Linked DNA regions of Macaca fascicularis. The protein of the gene in region 1 interacts with the protein of each later gene in a pairwise test. Links are inferred from orthologs where the notes say so. Each region holds a gene or a part of one and is shown in the gene's direction. Other genes may lie near its edges.

Region 1 (3,658 bases):
TGCCAACTTCATTATCAGAAGTTGGATTTGTGTTAGGATAGAATTTGACCACACTGAAAATCATTTTGAAATGAGTTCTAACTACTATTAAGGAAAATAATAGGAAAATGTATTGGCAGGGTAAGATATATCTGAAGCAGTGTTTTAATAGTAGAGGTGGCTATTATTAGATTGGGGTGGAAGAGATTGGGGTGAAGAACAAAAAAGCTGGCAAGAGAAAAACTCAGAGAAAGAATTGAAGTATGCTTCTTTAATTTAAACCTTTCTTAACTGGGAAGCTTGAAGAAAAATGGAAGAATCTGCCGACAGGTCAAATACATACTGTTGTTGATTAGAACCTCATTATAAATTTTCATTTTTAAATAGATTTTACATGGATTTAGGCATAGTAATCAAATCACATCCCCTTCATAAGAAGAACAAGTTTTGCCCTTTGAGCAAACAATCTGTTTATACTTAATATAAATTTGGCAGCTGGGATGGTGTGTTAGGTGTGCAGCCTCTGATAAATCTTATAAAATGAGTATTGTGGAATGCCATAAAGTTGATTTTGTAAATGTCTTTGTTAGCAGTTTATAGCTGAAAAAGCAGATTTTTTCTAAAATTATTTTAAAGCAAGTAAAAATTTAATTAAAATGAAAAAACTTGTTACTCTAATACTGCTACTATGTGTGGTGACATAAATGCTGTTAGAGTGAAGGATGTTGGGGTACTTTAGACCACAGGCTGAAGAATATGTAGATGCTGTCATAGATATTTATCTCCAGGCCTTCAACACTAACTTCAAATGGTTCAGTGTTGGTTAGGATTAAGATTTTGGGGCTCATAGTCTTCAGAGCATGCTAATTTTTACTGTGATGTTGAATCACGTGGATTAAAGCAAACAGCATTACTAAGATGATAATAGAAGTTAGCTTTTTTGGCATGTTTTTTCTTAGGTAGTTTCTAATTTTATTGGAATGATTGCAATAATATCCCCCTACGCCCCAGAACCTTATTTGAATTGCAGAACCAGAGCATGGAAAATGACCTTCATATTTGGATTTTGTTGACGTCAGTCATTCAGCATACTTGGATTGAATAACTACTCTTGACCAAAGTGCTGGTTTTAGGGGTAAATACAAAGAGAGATGGCTCTTGCTTTCCCAGCCTTTGAAGTGTTATAGGAAAGAACTTGAACAATAATTATTAAGATACATAATAAAGTGCTATGGTAGACGTACATGCCAGCGGTTATGGGAATAGAGGGAGTGGGCTCGTTATTTAGACTAATCTGACTGCTGGCATGTACTGATTTAGGCCTTTTAAAGAGTTTTTCATAAACAAAGATGTAGAATTTATGTTTTTGTTTGTTTAAAACCTGTAAGAAGATTTGGTAAAAAAAATCTCAATATCTTTGTAATACAGAATGACATGGAACCTAGCAAAACCGTTCCACTGAATGCATCTAAACAAGATGGACCTATGCCAAAACCACACAGTGTTTCACTTAATGATACTGAAACAAGGAAACTAATGGAAGAGTGTAAAAGACTTCAGGGAGAAATGATGAAGCTGTCAGAAGAAAATCGACACCTGAGAGTAAGTTCTGTTGGTTGAAAATAAGTTGATTTAAATGAAGGTATAGGACATGTGAGTGTTATTAGGCCATTTTAGCAATTAGTTTTTAAATTTATCCTTGGTCAGTTCTTTCTTGTTTTCCCCAATTTGATTATGTCCTGACCTTTGCTCCCCACCCTACTCCTCTCTTAAAAGTCTTCCTGTGGTTTCTCATTGCCACAAGTTCCTTACCTTAGCACACATTCTAATCATTTGTGATCTGGCCTGCAGCATTGCCAGCTTCAGCTCTTGTTTCTCCTGTCCTTCCCATTTTGTGCCCCAGTCACACTGAACTAGGATTGTGTTGTCCCACATCATAGCCATTAGTCACCTAGGACTGTTGAGCGCTTGAAATGGGATTTGTTCAAATTGAGCTGTGCTGTTGAGTGTAAAATACTGATGTTGAAGAGTTAGTACAGAAAAAGGTAAATTTTTCTTTTTTTAATGGTTACATACTGAAATAGTAGTTTGGGTATATTGGGTTGAATTGAATATATTAAAATGAATTTTACACATTTCTTTTTACTTTTTAAATGTACTATTGGAAAATTTAACGTTACATATGGGGTCACATTTGAAGCTCACATATTGGCGTGGGACAGCGTTGGGCTGGAGTATGCTGGAGAAGCATCTGTTTATCACCCCTCTTTCGCTTTAGTATCAGCTCTTCACTGTGACTGGAAAGGCTCAGAACCCTGTCCCTCCCGACACAGCACATACACATATTAATGTCTTGCTACTATATTCTTGTTGATTTTTCAGTATAGCGTTTGCTGGGACCCTCTCCAAAAGAAAAAAAAATCGATTTGTCCTGTCTGCTTTGTGCCACCACTATGCCGATTGCATTCTACTGCTCTTACTTGTTAGAGGCCTTTCTCCCTCTAGTGGGCAGTAATTTCCTTGGGGACAGGGGCAGTGTTTGATTTCTCTCTGCATTCACCGTACATGCGTGTAGTAGTCATATATTTGATTGAATAAATGGATGGTGAAGGAGGACCGATTTGAATATGTGTGAAATTTATGAATAATACTTGTCTTTGACAAGTAATTGTTTCAAGACCTGAATTCCTATATGTTGCTCTTTAGGCTTTGTCTGAAGCTCTTTGCAGCAACGTAGATGATACAAAAATATATGTAACTAAAATAAGCTAAATGATGGGAGTTATTTGATTATTCCTTTTGTTAGGTGTATATAGGAACTGCACTCTGAACACTGTATCTTAAGTCGATCTGTGAACTCCTTTGCTGAAATGCTTTTTAAAGTGAATTTTTGTGTCTCTTCATGTTTGATACTTCATAGTACCCCCTTGAGGGGTACCCCTCTGCTTCCAAGTGCTTGTCTGGATAGCGGGAAGAATATCTTTATTTCACACCTACACACCATGGATCTTTTAAAGGATTTTGTTGGTTACTTTTACTTCATCTGCCATGACTTCCATAGTTCTGTTCTTTGATAAAGATGTGCTCCTTAGGGTGCTCAATAGCTTTCTTTCAAAAGCCACTGTTTACCTCTGGCATGGAGGGGAGAGTGTAAACAGTAGGAGTGACAGGTGGGGCAGGTCTGGAAAATAGGAAGAATGAACCAGGGAAGTGAGAGAGACTTTATTCCTGGTTTCTGCTCTTTGTATGCTAATGTTCTGTATGAGATTTTATTTGAGAGATGATTCTGCTGTTGGAAAAGTAAAACAAAAAAGCTGTGCTGGGCACGGTGGCTCACACCTGTAATCCCAGCACTTTGGGAGGCCGAGGTGTGTGGATCACCTGAGGTCAGGAGTTCGAAACCAGCCTGGCCAACGTGGTGAAACCCCTGTCTCTATTAAAAGTACAAAAATTATCTGGGTGTGGTGGCGGGTGCCTGCAATCCCAGCTACTTGGGAGGCTGAGGCAGGAGAATCACTTGAACCTGGGAGGCAGAGGTTGCAGTGAGCGAGATCACACTGTTGCACTCCAGCCTGGGCAATAAGAGCAAATCTCAAAAAAACAAAAAAAATAAAACAAAAACCTTGGAGACCCACTGGCTTACAGAATTTCAGACCCTTTAGCATTTTATACACAGGCC
Region 2 (3,658 bases), on another chromosome or scaffold:
CTATACATATCCAACCCACCCTGTGACCATCACCACTACCTCAACAGATTTCTAAGATTACATACTCATATGGTATGTATTTTCATACATATACACACACACACACACAAACATGTTGAGAGATATATAAATATATCACACAAAAATAAGACTTCCTTTAAAAAATTAACAGGGTATGAGCATCTTTCCATATTTATGAAGATATTTCTGCAACTTTATTTTTAGTGCATCAACTTAGATATACTTAGAGTCCAGTTACACATAAAAATAATGTCATGAATAAGTGAGGCAACTTTTGACAATTTAGATCTAATTCAAACAATTTTGATTTTAGACATCAAGGAAGAGTATAAATAGTTGACTTGTGAACAACATGAGACTGTATGGGTCCACTTAATATGTGGATTTTTTTCAATAACAAAGTCTGCCCTCCACATTGGCCCTCCACATTCTGCATCCACAAGGAAACATAGATGGAAAATAACATGGTATTGTCAGAGTGTAAAACTGGTATATGGAGGCCAGCTTTTCATATCAGCAGGTTCCACAGGACCAACTGCAGGACTTGAATATGCACGGCTTTTGGCATCTACAAGTTGTTCTGAGACACTCCCCCCGCAAATACCAAGGCATGACTGTATATTTTTCCCTAACTGAATGAGTTAGATAATTATTCTCAAGCCTGTACTTCAGGTAAACTGCTTAGCAATAAGGGGTTGATGTATTTCACTGTTAAATATATCAAGAGCTTTACAAAAGGAAGATATGTCTGGCAACTGTCTGGTTATTTTGACCCATGTAACTCTGTGATGTTGACTTTCATTAACATTTCAGGGATGATTATTTAAAAATATGAGTCTTAACTTGTTTTTCAGACTTTCAAAAAGGATTATCAGTATCCCGAATCACTTGACGTATTCTCCAATGTTGGATGTGCACTGTCTATTACTGGTCTGGCTCTCACAATTGTATTTCAGATTGTCACCAGGTAAGAGCAGAAGCAGGCTCTTTTCAGAAAAGAAATTGCTATCTTGATATAATTTACTTTGAAAATTCTCATAAGAATGTAGTGTCTTTGAACTAGACGAGAACTCAGAGATGTACTTATTTTATAGAGGAGGACATTCAGGCCTGGAAAGGCTAAGAAATACACACAAATAAATATATAATTACAAATTGTGGCAAGTGCCTTGAAAGAAAATTATATGCCACTTATTTACAAGTTTGTCATGTAAAATTAATGTGGTCCTGCAGCTCATGAATGCTATAATTCCTTAGTGTTGAATAGAACCATGCCTATCAATTTGTATTTGTAAAGGAAAGAGACATTGCAAATAGCATTTTTTTAAAAAAGTAATTTAAAAAATATACCGAGCTTTCAAATGGTGAAATGTTTTCCAAAAATATATGGTTTTCAAATGATGAAAGTTTTTGAATCCCATACCTTAAAGTCTAATTTTAAATAATGACCTATAAACAAATACTTCTCTCCACCTTGACCCCTTCATTTGAGGTCCAATTTTGTATCCCATTCATTAGGTTTTGTCACATGCTACATTTTTTAACTGCCTGTGGTCTTTTAGAAGCTCGTTCATTTATTAATTTACTCTGTTTACTGTGTGTTTCCTCTGTCAACTCCACATTTCATGTTTGTTTGGTCTTTCATGACACTGAAATTTTTCAAGCATCCAGGCCATTTACTTTGAAAAATGTTCCACAGTGAAGATTTGTCTGAAATTTTCTTCATGAAGAGATGCAGGTTAATTATTTTTGGTGGGAATACTGCAATCATGGATTTTTTTTTAGTGTGACACGACAAGAAATGCATATCAGTGTGTCTCATTGTTGTAGGCTGTAAGTTTGATTCCTCGTTTAAAGTGATGTCTGACAGATTTCCACATTTTTTCCCTGTGTAAATAATAGGTGACTCATGGGGTGCCACTTTGAGGCTGCATGATATCCTGTTTCCCAAAAATCTTTTACTTAATGATCTTGTTACTCATCCTTACTGGAACAAATTATTACATTAGTAGTTGAAAAATAGTGATCCTCTAGTCTATCATTCTTTCTATATTTGTTTGCTATACTCTTTTGCAAAAAGCATACTTCCCAGTGTAGCCAGAGGGAGCCACTTCATGTTGTTTTGTCATGTCTCAGTCTTTAGTCACTTCCTTATTTCAATCACAGCAAAATGATCATCTTTCACTTTCTGTGCCTCATACCTGAACCAGCCATTTCTCCGAAGAGCCAGAATTGTTTTCGATTCCTTTTTTTCCCCCTTTTCACATTAAATGAGTCTTTTGCCATTCATTTAAAAGTTTTACAGTGAGTGCTTATGTTGTAAGGAGCTGAATACAAACCTATGAACAGACAGATAATCTCCTATCTCTCATGAAATATACACTTTTTGGGGGGAGAGGTAAGACATTATAAAAATATATACACAACTGAATATACAGTTACAAATGGTGGTAAGTGCCTTGAAGGAAAATTACATACCATGTAATTACATGTTTGTCATGTAAAATTAAATGCCTATTAAATTTGTCTCATTATTTGTATTTCTACCATCACCAGAGTTGTATTGACGATTATTTGGCCCCATAAGTATGAGTCATAGTTGCTGCATAACCAGTTTCTTTGCCCAAACCTCACTCTTTTCATTTGTCATCAGATTTCTTTACTCCTTCATCAATACATTTTCTAGCACAATTATGCAACCATAGATGGCACTAAAATTCATCAGGAAACAAAAATAAAAATAAACGCCAGGCATGGAGGTTCACACCTGTAATTCTAGCACTTTGGGAGGCCAAGGCAGGAGGGATTGCTTGAGCCCAGGAGTTTGAGACCAGCCTGGGCAATACAGCAAGATCACATCTCAAACAAGGCAATACAGCAAGATCACATCTCAAACAAATTTTTTCAAAAAAGAGAAAAAACAAAACAAAAATAAAGACAAAATTTTATTGACTTTAAAATCCTGAATTATAAAATTTTCTTTGTTCTTGGACAGGTTCCCATATAATAATAATGCACAGAATACAGATAGTCCCCTACTGACCATGGTTCAACTTACGATTTTTCAGCTTTAAGATGGTGCAAAAGTGATAGCATTCAGGACGTTTCTTGATTTATGATAGGGTTATGTCCCAATAAACCCATTGTAAACTGAAAATATGGTAAGTTGAAATGATGTTTTTAGTTTTCAATGGATTTATTGGGATGCAATCTCATTGTAAGTTGAGGAGCATCTATACAGTAATAATGTATAAGAAAGGCCAGGCTATTTGAAAATCACCTCTTCTTCCTGTGGATTATAATTGATAAAATTAGATAAAAACTAGAATCTAATCTTACTTTTATATAAAAAGATTCTTTTGAGTACTTTTTGCAGTTCTGGTCATTAAACCTCTCAATAGATTTAGTGAAATTTTGAATTGTCCCGAAATCTCAACTAAAATGTCAAGCAGACGGACTGAGTGCTGTTTGAATGAAAGCTTTTTTATTCAGTGTGGGAATCCAAAGATCAAGAGGGGTCATGATGAAACATCATAAAAACATAAAGAATATATAATGGGCAAATAGACTTCATCAAATTATGAGTTATTAAGAATAAAGAGGTACTTGAAGGTTAGAACTTAGGCATAATAATAAA

Evidence for each region.
Region 2: the proteins of VAPA (region 1) and ADGRG7 interact in binary tests that used the Homo sapiens proteins (3 or more experiments, as listed by UniProt). The two-hybrid records come from large-scale screens. The link is inferred for Macaca fascicularis from reciprocal best matches to the Homo sapiens genes VAPA and ADGRG7.

The regions. Positions count from the first base shown.
Region 1 is NC_088392.1:78,298,189-78,301,846, forward strand, and holds part of VAPA (vesicle-associated membrane protein-associated protein A), read left to right. Parts: intron 1-1,407; coding exon 1,408-1,581; intron 1,582-3,658. UniProt on the Homo sapiens protein: Endoplasmic reticulum (ER)-anchored protein that mediates the formation of contact sites between the ER and endosomes via interaction with FFAT motif-containing proteins such as STARD3 or WDR44.
Region 2 is NC_088376.1:182,389,096-182,392,753, reverse strand, and holds part of ADGRG7 (adhesion G-protein coupled receptor G7), read left to right. Parts: intron 1-875; coding exon 876-988; intron 989-3,658. UniProt on the Homo sapiens protein: Orphan receptor.